Neurospora crassa OR74A: one gene and its partner. The protein of the gene in region 2 binds, or shares a complex with, the protein of the main gene of each other region. Links are inferred from orthologs where the notes say so. Each region holds a gene or a part of one and is shown on either strand. Other genes may lie near its edges. The genes, in order: cot-1 and gul-1.

What was found.
Region 1: the proteins of gul-1 (region 2) and cot-1 are in contact, whole or in part, in a crystal structure (PDB 5NCL), measured with the Saccharomyces cerevisiae proteins. The link is inferred for Neurospora crassa OR74A from reciprocal best matches to the Saccharomyces cerevisiae genes SSD1 and CBK1. Residues at the interface, in NP_010579.1 of Saccharomyces cerevisiae: Phe211, Lys212, Phe213, Pro214; in NP_014238.3 of Saccharomyces cerevisiae: Asp450, Val451, Arg453, Phe454, Phe672, Arg673, Gly674, Val675, Ile680, Glu684, Ala685, Pro686.

The regions. Positions count from the first base shown.
Region 1 is NC_026504.1:4,482,565-4,491,051, reverse strand, and holds cot-1 (serine/threonine-protein kinase orb6), read left to right. Parts: upstream 1-3,730; 5' UTR 3,731-4,367; coding exon 4,368-4,555; intron 4,556-4,633; coding exon 4,634-4,954; intron 4,955-5,021; coding exon 5,022-5,519; intron 5,520-5,578; coding exon 5,579-6,055; intron 6,056-6,113; coding exon 6,114-6,426; 3' UTR 6,427-6,889; downstream 6,890-8,487. Other genes in the region: NCU07294 (hypothetical protein), read left to right, coding at 1-552; tim54 (mitochondrial import inner membrane translocase subunit tim-54), read right to left, coding at 897-2,237, 2,306-2,371. UniProt on the Saccharomyces cerevisiae protein: Protein kinase that seems to play a role in the regulation of cell morphogenesis and proliferation.
Region 2 is NC_026505.1:3,210,150-3,218,550, forward strand, and holds the start of gul-1 (cell wall biogenesis protein phosphatase Ssd1), read right to left. Parts: upstream 4,734-8,401; 5' UTR 4,108-4,733; coding exon 3,984-4,107; intron 3,760-3,983; coding exon 1-3,759. Other genes in the region: gle-1 protein, read left to right, coding at 6,730-7,575, 7,644-8,401. UniProt on the Saccharomyces cerevisiae protein: Can suppress the lethality due to deletion of SIT4, and partially the defects due to BCY1 disruption. Is implicated in the control of the cell cycle G1 phase.

The DNA of each region.
Region 1 (8,487 bases), on a different chromosome or scaffold from region 2:
GTCCTCCAAGCCAACAAGGCAGCCAAGCAAGCGGCCTTTGAAGAAGCCAACAAGATCAAGAACCAGTTCCGCGCTTTGGACGACGACGAGATTGAGTTTCTTGAGGGGGTGGCGGAGAGGAAGAGGAGGGAGGAGGAAGAGAGACGAAGAGAGGAGGAAGGGGGGTTGCAGAAGTTTAGGGAGTTGCAGCAGCGGCAAAGAGGTGGTGGTGGTGGTGATGGTGGTGGTGAGGAGCAAGAGGGAGGGGATGGAGAGGATGGGGGGGATGATGATGGGTTGGGCGAGGAGGAGTTGATGTTTTTGAGTGGAGCGGGAGGTGCAGGGAGGAAGAGGAGGAGGATGGGAGAGGGGAAAAGGTTGGTGCCCGGGGTGGTGAAGAGGGCTAGGAGTGGAGGAGAGGAAGGGAAAAAGAAGAAGGAGGAGGAGAAGAACACGGTGGTTTCTGAGCCAGGCAAGGTTACGGCTACAGTTACGACCACAGTTACGGCGCCCGCGAAAAAGCCCCTTGGTGGACTTGTGTCATATGCATCGTCGGATGAGGATGATGACTGAGCATTGTAAAGGGGAATGAAGAATGGAAGACGGGGCCCCAGACAAGGTAGGAGTTGACTTGGTTGAACTACTTGATTCACGAGTTTACTGGAAGAGGCGTCTCATTATATGATGTGTGGAAGAGGGCTGCAGAGATCAGAGATATCGCCAATCTCATCTGATTAGCAACCGCTAACACCTAGCCTTTTAATATACCCAACAACTAGTCCACATCCAGCTTTTCTTGGCCATTGCTTATTCATACACTGTGATCGTAACATGCGCCTCCTTTATATCTTTTGTTTGTACATGAGGATAAGATGCCAGTTGGACACAAGTTTCCTGTATCAACAGTACCACCTCGCTTATTCAACATCCTTATCCTCCAAAGGGACAAGCTTCTTCTTGTTGAAGGCCTTGTCATAGCCCCAATGACAGGCCTTCCTCAATGAACCCTTGATCCAGCCCTCGACCTCCTCCTCGGGCACTTTAATCTTGCTCACCCGATCCTCGTCCTCGGGCGTCAAGGCAAACCTCCTCATGCGGTGCGCAAGTCTTGGGTCCATAACCACGGGCTTGATATGGATCTTTTCCGTCACTTCCTTATCGGCATCGGCCTCATCCTCTTTCCATACCTTCTTGGGCCAGTCCTGCTCCTCCCACTCGAGCTCCTTCGCCTGCTCATACTGCACCGAATCGGTAGAAGGCGCGTCTGGGTTGGTTTGTTGCTGGAACTCGCGGTGGGTTGCCAGGCACACAGCGGCGACTTCGCGGCCGATGTCGTCGGCGAGTGAGCGGCGGTTGAAGAATCGGACCATGCGTGTAGGGGTGTTGAGGAAGCCGAGAATGTGAGGCTCACGGATAGGGACCGCAGGGGTGAGTTCCTGTGGCGTCAGGGGATGAAGGGTCTCGGACGAGTAATCGGAGGTCGTGTTGTATGGCTTGGGTTGGGGTGGGCGCTTGGGCTTCGGGGCTTCCTCCTCCTTCTTCTCCTCCGCGGGCTTGTCTTCTGTAGATGTGCTACCCTCGGCCGCAGCGGGTGCGGGTGTGGGAGGGAGTGGCGCAGGCTCAGCGGGCGCGACCAGCGGCCCTAACCAACCCTCGTGCAGGCCCCGGAGGTACTCCTTCCATGTGTGACGGCCAATGACAACATCGCCGCGAACACCTTCGTAGTCCTTGATGCCGCGCTGCTGGCGGTAGATCTCTATCAACTCGTCCTTGGTAGGCTCGCGGTTGGGGTCCTGCTCCTCTTTGTTCTCCCAGCCACGGCGCACCTTGCGCAATCTTTCTGCGACTACGGCGCGCACGTCGCCTTCCCGGCGGCCCTGCACAAACTCCCAGTCCAAGCCACTGGCGGCCAGAACAGGCTTGACGTATTCTGTGTAGTGATCCTGAGCGACGCGCAGGCCGTCGCCGGGCGGGGCGGAGAGGTAGATGGTCAGCTTGCGCGGCTGTTCAAGACCGAGTTTATCGGTGATGGGTTCGGCAGCCAGGTGCTCGACGGCGTGTCTCCATTTCGCAATGTTTCGCCTCTTCTCGCGGCGGTCGTAAATAATTGCAGCTGTGATGGAGGCCGAGACGGTCCAGAAGATCATCCAATTTCGGGAGGGGAGCTTGTTGGGCAGGTTAGGGAGACCGAGCATGCGAAGTGCCTGGTTCTGCGGCCTCAGGGCTTTCGGAGGAGGAGGAGGAGGAGGAGGAGGAGGCTAGGTGTGATGTGAGCCATAATATTCAGAAATACGATGAAGTGCGAAGGAGCCAAAGTGTAACATACTGTAGCCGTAGTTGCAGCCGGAGCGGCAGGCGGCGCAGTGGACGCCGGGGGTACTGGGTCGGCCATGGTATAAAGTGTTGCGCCGGCTGATGCTATTACTCTGATGTATGTCGTGTGGTGATGGAGTTTGCGCAATTACGGGCGCATGCAGCTTACTGTGACGGCGCGAGGGGTATCGTAGGGAGAGATCGGGGGGTGGTTCTCGCGGGGGGCGTCACAGTTGGAAGACAACTTGAAGAGGACGACGGGATTCCGTAACGATTGTACGGACTACGGACAGCGACTCCGTAGGAGCTCCGTTGAGGACCTTGGGGCCGGTGCAGCGGAGCACCCGACTGCCAAAATTCCCGGACACACTTTCTTATCGCGATAAGCCGATAAGCCATTCCCGCGGCGGCACCCACCTGCATCTTTCATCGCGTTTAGTGGTTGTGCACGGGCCATATGCGAAGGTCAACCGCACGTCATGCCAGTGACACTTGAATTAACTTTTAGTGTATAAATGCAGACCACGCAGACTTGGAACGGCCCAAGATTTTATCTTGAGAGTTCCAAGATAGTCTCATGTCTGGACTTTACTCTCATAAGTTGGGGAATTTAGTCAGCCCTATTGAAGCAGGTTCCATCTTTCTGAGCCAGAACTATAGGTTCTAAAAGCGTCTGCAAAGGGTACCTGAGCTTGTATAAGTCGGGCTACCTGTTCCGTGTTCTTACTTTCCCTGGATTCTCTGCTGAAGCATCGTAGAGGATGTCTCTACAGTAGACAATTGTATACTCGGTCGTGGCGACTTGGGCTTCATGTGCTGTCAGCGATCATGATGACCTCTTGCGTGATCAATGGGCACAACTGTTCCGAGACGCTGCAACCCCTGAAAGAACAGGAGCACCCAGGGAAGATGCGGTGTCGATGGCGCTAAGCGTGTTCACCCCACCTTCAGCTCCACCAGGATGCCCCTTCGATCAATTGCAGACCCGGGAGTGCCCGCTCCCAGCCAGTAACAAATTCCCGGACCAGAGTCTCGATGCTCTCGAGGTCCAATGCCGTTGCGTCGAGCTTCAACACTCGGGGGACTGGTGGTTTACCTATAGTGTGCTTGTGAGGCACGAGAAGATGGCAGCAGTGCGGAACAGACAGCAACGAGTTGACGTCTGACGATGAGGTTGGAGTCAGGGGTTTTCAGGTTGACCAGGGCACCCCATAGTTAGGTGGTCCTGTTTCGGCCTGGAGCTCACCACTGGACCTGGGCATGTCATCCCAAACATGGAACCCCTCTTTCTACGACCTCCTTATTCCTGGGCATCGTGTACTAGATTCACATCGAGGCCAGCTTCCTGTGGCAACAGAAAACGGAAACGTAAAGATGCTCCTAGTTGTCTGTTGTTATTCAAGGTGTCCTTTGAATGCGCCCGTGGCTGTCTCATATCATCACAGTCTATGTCTTGGTCACTTATAGATGGGATCTGTTAGGTTCCATGTCACCTCTATACGTCTAGGTCTTTATTTATACTGATACCGCAGGGACCCTGCCCCACCTGCTTCCCTTCCGTTTGTCTGATTCGTCCGTACCTAGGTTCTCCGAATTACAGCGCCCTGAATCGCCTCCAGCCAGTGCTCTCCTGTCAGACTCCTTCCTGTAGGTAGGCTGGAGAGGCTCACGTCGGTCACGCTTCCACTTTGCTTCCACTTCCACACTGCGCCTATCGACTGCACGTTCCAGCGGGACACTTCCACTTCGGACGGTGCCACTCAACCACCTGCCCCCCCAGCCTGGCCGCCCTCGATTCCCATCCCTACCATCTACAGTAGCCAACCGTCGTTCGATCCTCGTTGGACCCTGGTCCCAAGAAAAAGCAACCTCCTTTCCTCCCGTCTCCCCATACCTATCCCGTCTTGTACACAAACCCCTTTCTGTGCGCATAGATCCCATCGATCGGTCTGGGAGCTCGACTCTGATCGTTTCTCCATCTGCCGTCCCTCGGAATCTCGTCTGAGCTCGCTTGCGCCCTTCCCGCTACATACACCCGGAATCCACTGTTTACCGTTTAGAGACAAGGTACCAAGATGGACAACACCAACCGCCCCCATCTCAACCTGGGCACCAACGATACCCGCATGGCTCCAAACGATCGTACCTATCCCACCACCCCGTCCACCTTCCCCCAACCCGTCTTCCCAGGTCAACAAGCCGGTGGTTCCCAGCAGTACAACCAGGCCTACGCCCAGTCCGGCAACTACTATCAACAGAACCAGTATGCCAGCCACTACGCCCCTCCTGGTGCCGCCGACTACGGCTTCGTTCAAGCTCATTCTAACATTGACGGTACTAGCAACGACCCCAACACTGGTCTCGCCCACCAGTTCGCCCATCAGAACATTGGCAGCGCCGGAAGAGCCTCTCCCTACGGTTCTCGTGGCCCATCTCCCGCTCAACGCCCTCGCACATCCGGAAACTCTGGCCAGCAGCAAACCTACGGCAACTATCTGAGCGCCCCGATGCCTTCGAATACCCAGACCGAGTTCGCTCCCGCTCCCGAGCGGAACCCCGACAAATATGGCCCCAATGCCAACAACAACCAGAAGAAGTGCTCACAGCTGGCCTCTGACTTCTTTAAGGACAGCGTCAAGCGCGCCAGGGAGCGCAACCAGAGGTGAATGCTGCAGCGATGCGCTTTTGCCCCTACATCCCGCCGTGATCGGTGCTGACACCCTTTTCAGACAGAGCGAGATGGAGCAGAAGCTCGGTGAGACCAACGATGCCCGCCGTCGCGAATCGATCTGGTCAACCGCTGGCCGGAAGGAGGGCCAGTATTTGCGCTTCCTGAGAACCAAGGACAAGCCCGAGAACTACCAGACCATCAAGATCATCGGCAAGGGCGCTTTCGGCGAGGTCAAGCTCGTGCAGAAGAAGGCCGACGGCAAGGTTTACGCCATGAAGTCGCTTATCAAGACGGAAATGTTCAAGAAGGACCAGCTTGCCCACGTCCGAGCAGAAAGAGATATCTTGGCCGAGTCGGACAGCCCATGGGTTGTCAAGCTCTACACCACCTTCCAGGATGCGAACTTCCTTTACATGCTCATGGAGTTCTTGCCCGGTGGTGACTTGATGACCATGCTGATCAAATACGAAATCTTCTCGGAGGATATTACCCGTTTCTACATTGCCGAAATCGTCTTGGCTATCGACGCGGTCCATAAGCTGGGCTTCATTCACAGGTAAGCTTCGCCGGAAGCAATGCTCTGGAAAAGAGATACTGACACGGTTGTGCATGCAGAGATATTAAGCCAGACAACATCCTTCTTGATAGGGGTGGTCATGTCAAGCTTACAGATTTCGGTCTCTCTACCGGCTTCCACAAGCTCCATGATAACAACTACTACACACAACTGCTCCAGGGCAAATCCAACAAGCCGCGCGACAACCGCAACTCGGTTGCTATTGACCAAATCAACCTGACGGTCAGCAACCGTGCACAGATCAATGACTGGAGACGCTCCAGACGTTTGATGGCCTACTCGACCGTCGGTACACCAGATTATATTGCTCCGGAAATCTTCACTGGCCATGGTTACTCGTTTGATTGCGATTGGTGGTCTTTGGGTACCATCATGTTCGAGTGCTTGGTCGGCTGGCCTCCTTTCTGCGCCGAGGATAGCCACGACACTTACCGCAAGATCGTGAACTGGAGGCACTCGCTTTACTTCCCGGATGACATCACCCTTGGTGTAGATGCCGAGAACCTTATCAGAAGGTATGCATGCTTTTGACTTCCCCCAAAATCACGCGCTCACCATATTGACTTGTCATAGCCTCATCTGCAACACTGAGAACCGTCTCGGCCGTGGTGGTGCTCACGAAATCAAGAGCCACGCCTTCTTCCGCGGCGTTGAGTTCGACAGCTTGCGTCGCATCCGTGCGCCCTTCGAGCCCCGTCTTACATCCGCCATCGATACCACATACTTCCCTACGGACGAGATTGACCAGACGGATAACGCCACGCTGCTCAAGGCTCAGCAGGCCGCTAGGGGCGCCGCTGCCCCTGCGCAGCAGGAGGAGAGCCCAGAACTCAGCTTGCCTTTCATTGGATACACGTTCAAGCGTTTCGACAACAACTTCCGATAATTGCGTTACGTCTTCTCGCTGTCTGAATAATGAGCGTTGGTTTTCTTGGGGGGGAGGAAGGGGGCGTAATAGTGATGGCGAAAGGGAGAAGAGGTTGTGCTGCGGGGCGGCAGTATCTGGGTACCCCTTATACTTGGCTTTGACGTCTTTGCTAGCTCGCGGTGCTGTTGAAATTTCTGATGGCAGAGACACTTTGCTGATAGTACGCGAATTTTCCGTTCCGCATATATGGCTGAATAAGTACAGAAACATAATGTATGGACTGCATCTTCTGGGCGAGGAACTGGGAAGCCCTGAAGCGAGCAACGGGGGAGAATAAAAGCGGCAAGAGACATGAACGTTGCGTATGGCGTGATGATGGAGATGTTTGCATATCTAGTAACCGAATCGAGCATTCGCTTGCCCAAGTTAAAATACAACTTGCGCCTGCTCAAAGCTACCAAATGTAGAGATCCATCCATACTGAAAATGATGCATTTTTGCACGTAATTACATTTTTTCTGAAATTACCGCTAATTCAGTAGTCCGTGCCACAGTCCGTGCACCCCAACTTCCAGGTTGGGCATCAACTTCCATACTGCTGGGCGCCTCAATTCTATACCGTTTAATATACCGATTAGCTTCCTAGTATTATTAGATTTACTAGATTTAATCTAGTAACCCCTCAATACTATGCCCGCGATACGAAACGGTCGAACCGAGGCTATAATTAGAAAGTTCGCCCTTATCGACGAGCTTGGGCGCGCGAACTAGATTGCTATTTACAATTATTACTAATAGCGCGCCGCAATGAATGTTACCCGTATACGCCAATACTTCGATACCGAGTATCAACTCTACTAATATTACCGCTTTTGTTAATGAATTGAATATTGTAAGGATATCCGTAATTATATTGTATCGCTAAATCCTACTCAAGTAAAGAAAATTAACTAGTACGCCGCTAAAACTATCCTTATTAACGGTAGACTATTTAATTTATTTGAATTATCCTCTATAAGGGTATTTCTCTATACTATTATACCTTCGTATATTCTACCTAATATGAATTCTATTATAAATAATTAGTTACTCCTTATTTATAATTAAATAAGGGTATAGATAAAAGAGAAGTATATCGATAGAACGAATTATATTAATATATTCTTTAATAAGTTAAATAATTATACTAATAAATAAATTATTAATATCTTCTTCTCTATACCTAATAATAGAAGTACTTTCTTCTAATATAACTAATATATTTAAACTATCGAATATACTGCTATAAACTTCGCCGGTCTTATTATAGAAGTATATACTAGTATAATTAATATCCTAATTAAAATTAATAGCTTTATTACCAATATATATACTATAGTCCGGTATATAATATATACCCTAATAATTAGGCGGTTTACTTAAGTATTTCTAGTATTATACGATTTACATTTACTTTAGCTACTAATGAAAAATTTGCTTACTCTACTACTATTTAGAGTATTAAATTATTAAATTTCTATAATAATTAATTTCTTTTGTACTTCGAAGTTACAATTAGCTTATTTTAAAGGATTAATAATAATATACTATAGTAAACTTATTTTAATATTAGTAAAGTAAGTATAAAATTATTCCTATTTTTAATATTTATACTATATATTAATAAAATTAATATAATTACTAAATGGGGTTTATAATATAGATTTCTATAGTTAGTATAACGTATAAAGCCTACCCTTACTATATTTACCTAGCAAACCCGCTTTAATAATAGTTAGTATTAAGACCCCCCCCGTCTCCCCTTTTAACTTTAACCTTAATACTTTTAATAAGGCAGTCTACTCCTAGTAATACTCCTTCTACCCCCGGCGGTACCCGTATAAAATAAATTTATACGTATAAGTTAAATATTTAATATTATTAAGAACGCGGGGTTCTAGTACGGTTTTAAAACTTTTGAAAGGTTTATAAAACTATTTTATAAAGTTTAATTAATATTAGAGGTAGATAGAGCGACCGTTAATTACGTAATACTACGGTGGAGTACTATATATACTATATAGGAGGCCGACTATATAT
Region 2 (8,401 bases):
TACGGTGGAGGGTACCGACGGCCTCAGCCGCAGACTGAGTAGGTGAGCCAGGCACGCTCTGAGTCGGGCGCTCCGCAAGAGATGCGCCGGCCATGGCCTCGGTGATATCAGAGGCATTGTCCTCGATGTCGTCCTCGTCCTCGTCCTGGAACAGAGCGTCAACATCATCGTGCGAGACGGTACCAGTCTCGATCTGCTTGCGGGCAGCCTCCTCGCGATCCTTCTTAGCGCGTTCGGCCTCCTCAGCCTGGCGAGCAGCAGCGAGAGCATTCGAGATGCGCTGAGAAGCGGCGGCCTTGGGGCGCTCATCTTCAGGAACGTAGGCGGAGCTGGGAACACCCTTCTCCCAGTAGAGTTCAAGAACTCTCTTCTCTTTTCTAAACTCGGCCTTCTTTAGAGGAAGCTGATCGCAGTGGACACGCTTCTCGAAGCCCCACTCCGGAATGAGGACGTCGAAGGCAGACTCGTACACACAAATGACGATACCCTCGCTGATCAGGTCGCCATTAACCTCCTGCCGCTTCTTATCCATGGTGCGGCAAGATTCGATGTGAACACTCTGTTCCTGAGCATTTTGAGCCGAATCCTTCTTGGTGTTGCAAGACTCTACGGTCTTGACAAGGTTCTCCAAATCCTCAGTATATTCAATCTTTCCATCAGAAAGAACAGCCTCAAGCTGACGATGAACAATGATGTCGGCGTAGCGCCTGGTGGGGTACGTGAAATGAGTGTAGAGGGGTAAGTTCAAGGCATAGTGAGGCCAAAGCAGACTGGCAGTCTTGCCCGCAATGAAGTACTTGGCGCGCTGCATAGACTTGACGAGGAGGGTCTCCATACCCTTTCTGATGTCAGAGTCGTCAATCTTGAACAAGCTATTCTGTAGGGTACCACTGCTAGTAGCGTCAATGTCGTAGCCCAAAGCAGTCATACGGTCAATGATAGTTTGTAGGCGGCGGGAGTTAGGAGCAGACTGCCTGCGCAGAAGGGCTTTCTCCGGGAGTCCCTGCGCCAGACGTTGGGCAACATGGGTGTTGGCCTTGTGCATAAGCTCTTCGACAAGTTCAGTGGCCTGGCTAGACTCGAAAATGTTGTGCTTAGGCGGGATGTTCTCATCATCAAGTTGCTGGAGGAGACGGAGAGGCGCAATGGGTTCGCCACCGGCGCCCAAGCGAGCTTCACGGAACTTCTGGGCGACAGCGTTGAGAATCTGGATGTCCAGGGCCTTCACAGATGGATGGGAGAATCCGCTGCTACCGGAAATGGCTTCATCGATCTCGCTGAGCGACACCTTCCCGCCGCTCTTGACGATACCCTTTCCAATCCAGGTGTCGCCTTCGGCCACCGCGCCAGTCTGGGGGTTGACGTGGAACACAACGCTAAAAGTCAAGCGATCCTGTTCAGGAGTGAGGGTGCAAAGCTCGCTCGACAGCTTGGGGGGGAGAAGGGCACAGAAGCGGTTGACAAGATGGACCGCAGTACCGCGCTTCTTAGCTTCACGGTCAACGAGTGAGCCGGGCTTGACGAAGTGGGCGACATCGGGAACGTGAATACCAATTTCGATCTTGCCGTCAGGCAACTGCTTGAAATGAACACCGTTGCCAAGCTCGACAGAGCTATCTAATTCAACAGTGAACACATTCTCGCCACGGAAGTCACGGCGAGCGGCAAGAGCAGCTTGATCCTCACTTTCAAGCGACCAGTCTTGCTGGCTGACGTTGCGCAAAACAGCCTCAGCAAACTCGTCGGACGCGAAGTTGTTGTCACGAAGGAGGGCATCGGTCTCAACCTTAAGATCACCCATTTTGCCCAGCTTCTCAACGAGGGTACCAAACGGATGCAGAGAAGTGATGGGCCAGCGCTTGATACAAGCCACGAAGATCTGGTCCGCATAGTCCTGGTGCTTCTCCACGAAGTCCTTGGGTGCTTGCTCGGTAGGAATGGCAATCAGAGGAACACGCTTGTCCGTGGGCTTGAACCAAACAATCTTGGGCTTCTCGTGGGAGCGCGAGTCTTGTTGGCGGCCATTGCCACCGTCTCTCGCAGCGCGTTCAGCTTCCTGCTTCTCCTTCGTAGCCTGACTGCTCGGGCGGAGCAGACCAAGGGTACCAGAAAACATTTGGCCGGGAACACGCTCAATAACAGCAACAATGTGACCAGCAAAGAGAGGCTGCTGCTCATCATTGATCTCCTCTTCCTCAACCAAAAGAAGACTTTGACCTTCAACTTCCACGTCGTCGTTCTTCTTTTGGGTAGGACGCTGTCTGAGGCTGCCACGGCGGCGGAGTCCCCCCTCAGCGTTGCCATTGTCGTCACCAGTATTTTGGCCTCCACTAATGGAGCCAGAACGAGTGTCGGTAATATCCTTGCGCTTCTTCTTTTCTTCCTTCTCGCGCTTCTGCGCCCACACTTCACCAACATCCAACAGCTCGACCGCAACGAGATCACCTTCGAGAGCACGGTTGCGATCCTTGCTGCCGCAGATGAAGATATCGGCGGGAAGCAGGCCATCCTGCGTCGAGACGTACGCATCGCTTCTGTTCTTCTTGTTCACGCGAAGAATACCAGAAACAAGCTGGCCGTTACCCAAGAGGGCAGGAAGAGTAGCTTGGGGAAGGTAAGGAGTGAAAAGCGTCTTGCGCTGCTGTTGCTGGCTTTGCTGACCAGGAGCAGCCATTTGAGGAGCGTGCTGGCTGGCGGCAAGACCGGTAAGTGGCTGACCATTCATCTGAGCAAGCTGAAGAGCCTGAAGCTGGTTGAGCTGCATCGGATTGAGTTGTTGGCCAGGGAAAACCTGGGGCATCATCATCTGACCGGGGAACTGAACCAGCTGAGGCTGTCCAGGATACTGGAAGGATCCAATCGAAGAGATGGACTGGCTCACCGAGCCGCGGCTGCGGTGACCGGGCTGGAAGCCCTGGCTCTGAGGAAGGGCAGCGGTCTGGTCCTGAGCCTGGTTCTGGTTCTGGTTCTGGTTCTGGTTCCTCCAGTTGCCGTCGAAGTTGCGGGAACCAGTGCGGGCATGGCCGCTACCAGGAGCGCGGCGGGAAAAGTCGCTGCCTTGGCCCACGGAGTCGGTAGAGAAATGGCCTCCGCGGCCACCACGGCCATTGGCACCAACAGCCATACTCTGGCTCCTGCCATGGCCGCCACGACCGCCACGGAACGACGATCCCTGAGCTATCTGGCCCTCCGCCGGAGCAGGAGTGGTGCTCGGGGTGGTCTTGGCATCATCCTCAGACTTCTCGGAGGAGCCAGGGGCAGGAGCAGCAGGGAACTGGAAGGTAGACGTCGTGCGCTTCTGTTGGGCGATCTCGGCGGCCTTCTTGGCATCAGCCAAGGCCAAGGAATGTCTTCTCTGATGACCGCCGCCGGATCCACCCCGACCACCACGACCGCCGGTGCTGTTCTCTCGGGCGTGACCCTGGGTGGGATCTTGGAAGTTGCCGAACGTCGAACCAGAGGCGCCGGCAGAGGGAGCAGGCGGCGGGCCCCCCATGCCCATGTTTGGAATGGCCGACTGATTACGGCGATGTGAAAGCGGTTGTGTAGGAGGAGCTAGGGGCGGCTGCTGCTGCAGCTGGACCGGGAACTGGAAGCCCGCCTGAGGCGCCAAACCGGCAATGGGCTGGAAGTTGGTGAATCCGCCAGGGCCCAGGGGTTGCGTGGCCGGAAGCATGCCGAGGTTGGCATATTGAGCTGTAATCTGCTGTTGCTGCTGCTGAAGGAGTTCGATCTGCTGCTGGATGGCAAGCTGTTCCACTGCACCGAAAAAAAGATCCAGTCAGTACGCCAGCGCATTGAAGAGGGGGATGAGGGGTTACAGTCAGGACACAAGACGGGAACGCGACGGGGTCAGGGGTACGATCATTGGCTTTTGAAGCTTTTCGCCACGAACAAGAACGGACCAGTGCAAGAGCGGTAGAGGGGCGCCGCGATAGTACACGATGGCAATGGCGATGACAATAGCAAAACTCAAAACATACTGTTCGTGTTTGAAAACATACTCATCAACGGGGTCAGCTCCGACGGGCTTCTTCGATGGGCGATATGGAGCCGTCGGCCGGCGGGGCCAGAGACGCCTCCTTGAGGCTGCTGTTGCTGATCCATGATGCAGGTTGTTGGGACGGACAGGTGCAGATGACTCGGGTGATCCAGGCAGAAAACGTGCACGTCGAGTGCGAATGCAAGGCGAAGTCGGCGTTGGACCTAAAGCGTGTGAAGAAGTAGTAAAGTAGAGCACGAGACGAGTCGAGTCGAGTCGAGTCGAATCGAATCGAGGCGTGGTCGACCGAACAGAGACGAGGGGGAAGGTTATTGAGCTGGGTTTATCTTTTTTGTGTGGCCGGATTGCCGTTGCGATGCATCAGATGCGATGGGAGTTGCGGTATGTTTGGTTGCGGTGCGGAGACGTCGCCCCAAAGGACAGTTTTGTTTCGCAGTTAAAGCGGATTGGATGAAAGAAATCAAGTCCAAAGAGGTTATAATGAGAGATTGAAAAGTTGCTACGAGGGAGTGTAGAGAGAAGGGAGGGAGGTGTCCGGCTTTGCTAGTTGACGTTGAAGCTAGAGGGAAGCCTGAAGCCGATGCGGATTGAGGTTCGTGAGGAGGGAAGGGGAAAGGGAGAGTGCAGGAGGAGGAGGAGTCGGAGGACGGGAGAAAGAGGTTCGGTGCTATAGGAAGTCAGGAGGACTGGGCCTTGGACCTGAGAGGAGGAGGAGGAGGAGGAGCAGAGCACTTTCAGCGCCGCAGCGGCAGTCAGCGAGAGGAACCCGAAAGGTCCATCCTTCGGCGGGCATCCTGGGCTGGCTAGGTTGTACCTAGAGTATCTACCTAGAGGTACCTACCTCACCTAGACTACATGCTAGTGACGAACTGATGCGTGAGAGGGAAACGACGGGACAGGATGGTGCCCGCCCGCCTGGCAGTCCGTCCTGCTGAGGTGAGTGAGGTCCGTCCCTCCTTGGAGGCGCATGCTGCAGGTGTACACGGTGCGGCGGCGGAGCATGGAAGGTCCGGGTTCACGGCAGGCATCTCTTACGGTTTCAGTTGCACCTATCAGCGGCGGTGCTGGGCAGTTGGCTGAAGTGGTGGGCTACCGTTAGTAGCGCCAGGATAGGTGCAAGCACGCAGGGTGTGAGGGTGGTGCACCGGATACCCCATGTGCGCGACACACCGTGCTCCTCTTCCCTTCCACTTACAACCCAACTACTACTGAATGAAGTAACCTTTGAGCCCCTTTTATAAAACCGTCTTTTCTTCCTGGCCTTTGTTCAAAAGGAAATCTGCACTCATGACATCCACTGCATACCTACTTCTGGAGTTTCTGTTCAATAGCCAAGAGCTTCGAAGAGTCGAGGACCGCGACAGGAGCATCCGGGGGAAGCTACACTACCTACACCAATCAACGATGCCAGTGGGGAAACGGTTCCTCAGCAGACTCGGGAAAATCACAAATGGCAGAAGTGGACACTCCCGCTAATCGTCTTTACCCCATACCTCATTTAGTTTAGATTCAGGATATCTCAAACATGGCGTATGCTGGGCGATGCTTCCCTGTCACGAATGTGTCTGCACAGGGACAGGGACGACAAACTCGAGATGTACTCGAAGATACGTGCTCGAACGTTTCTCTCGGGGAAACTCAACGGTGGTCGGAAAGAGGATCGCCAACCCATATCATGATGTGCCCGGCATCACCTGGGGAATATGGACTGGCCTTGCCGGCGTAACAGGGAAGACGTCAATGGTGATGGTGATACCCTAAACCCTGGATCGACGCGAGTACACCGCATACTGCAAGACGACAGCCGTGTCTCCCGTGTCAGAAGCTCCGGCAGGCTTTGGGGGTCTGTGTCTTTGGATGACGGTACGATTCGTAAAAGAGGTTGAAGAGAAGAGAGACACGGATACCTGCGGGAACTAATGGAGTTGCTATCTGCCATATACAAAGACCACAAGCTGACCTTCTTGACGATATTTGCTGTCCACAGCACCAATGGATCAAAGTAATACCTATGCAGTAACTTGCGATGAAAAGATGAATCCTTGATTCATCACACATCCTGCATTAAAGTTCGTTTGAGATGTCAATAGCACGTTGCCTTAGCTTAGCTTCGTAAGTACATACAATGGCGACTTCAAAGAGCTGTACCTCCGAAGCCCTTTCTCTTGACTGTTCCCATCACTTTGTAATTTATACGGACGCCCGAGGACCTGGAGATATTTCAGCGTAACACAGCAGGAGCAGACATCTAAATTTGGGTTATAGATGCCAAAGCCGCTTTGTGATATCTACACAGGTAGGTAGGTTTTTGTTGCCAACAATACATCAAGGCTAGATTTCAGGTTGGTTTATAGAAAGGTGCCACTTCCATCCGTTCTCCCCCACCAAAAGCGGCTGCAAGGACCACTGCACCTAACCACACACAGTGTGTAAAGATACCAAGACAGACGGATGCCGCCATACTAAAACCGCACCCATGGAGTGGACTTAGTGCTATTGGACTCGCGACGCGCGCAAAGTACAACTCCAATTGATAGTGTCCATAGTACCCTTCCGCAACTGTCAAGCCGAACACAACACCGGACGATCACCTTAACATCACCCAATTTTTTTTTTAACCAAGCAGCGATATATCTGCCTGAAAATTTCCCCAGTGTACCACCTGTCCGGCAATCGTGACGGGTGACTGGGATTGTCAAGCAGCAGCGCATCCAACCACCGACAGGATGGCTGGTTCGTCCCCCGCTCGCCCAAACGGCAACCAGTGGGCAAGCCCTTCCTCGCGATCAGTCATATCCGACATTCTTGCTGGAGACCGCAATTCCGAGGCCCGGCATAGACTTCTGATTGAGGCCGCTAGGAGGGAACATGAACGTGTACGCGAGGAGGCCGAGAGGGTGTACCAGGAACACCTCTTGAGACAAGAGCAGGAACGTCTGGTCGAGGAGCGCAAGAAAGAGGAGGAAAGGATACGAGCAGAAGAACAACTTGCTGCTGAGCGAAGGAAGCTTAACGCTCTCAAGGCGAAGAAAATCGAGATCCCGCCTGTCCTGCCTGACTTCGAGCCAGCAAAGGCACCATCTCCAGCCCCGAAACCTGCCTCAACGGCATCCCCATCACAACCACCCGCCACCCAAGTCAATGGCAAAACACTTTTCGAAAAGCAACCCGAGTTGCAGCCAGCGTCTGCACCGGCTGCAGCGAAGCCTTTTGGAGGATTTGGACAGACACTAACAAGTGCGCAACCCGCCACTGCTGCCCTGAAGCAGTCAACGCCTGCATCTGCAGCCTCTTCTCAGCTTGCGACCAGTAACTTGCTAGGGAACAATATCCAGGTCAATGGAACCGCCACGGCCACGACCATTGCCAAATCACCGACACCAGCACCCGTGCAACAAGGACCTGACCGATTGGCAGTGATACACAAAAATCTGAAAGAGCTGCGGAAGTCTATGTTGGATCAAGCAAAAGCAAATCAGGCGCTTAAAGCCCGTATGGGAGATATGCGTCGAGAGATCAGAAAGTGTGTTGGACAACTCACGGGAGGCGGCGCGGGAGTCAATCGTCAACAGGTATTTAATCACCAAATCAAGCCTGTTTTCAGCCTTTGGGGGACTGCGCTAACCAGACACAATGACAGAACAATACCATTGCTGCTCTACTACGCGAGGCGCTCGAAAACCGCGTACAATCTCAGCTCGTTGACCCGAATACCTTCCTCGTCGAATCACGAGCCCCAGTTCAAGGGCCTACCAACAACGATCCGCAGGTCCCGTCACTATTTATCTATCTACTGAACGTCTTCGCCAAGGCCACCATTTCCCAGTTCATCAACGAAGGCGGTCCACGACCAGAGACAGCCGATCCCGTGGGTGTCTGTATTGCCGCCGTGTTTTCCGACCCGGCATTCGCGTGGCGTGGGGCCTCCATGATCGACATCCTTCTCGCCAAGTTCCGCATCGTCTGTCCCGTCCTGTGGGGTTATAGGGGCAGCGAGAAGACGGAGCAAGGACGCGCCAGGATAGGGTGGTGGAAGGACAATGGAAGATGGGTTACGGAGCAGGTGCATTTTGACCGAATGACGGGTCTCGGTGCCGGCTTCGCCGCGATATCGTTGCGAAACTTCGCCTCGTCCAAGAAGCAAAACCCATACCCACCACGACATTACTGGGCGGCCATGGCGAAGATTGTCAACACCCCTTCAGGCGAAATCTCAAATACCCAGTGCGTGGTTCTGAAAGCTATGATCCAGAACTACGAGGAGAAGTTTATCCATGCATATGGAACCGCTGCCCTTGCGGCGTTGAGGACCGCGCTCGTAGAGTTCCCTGCTCGGGCACCGGTCAAGTCGAGTGCCGTGAACTCGTTGCAGGTTGTCCATGATCTGCTCAGGAAGAG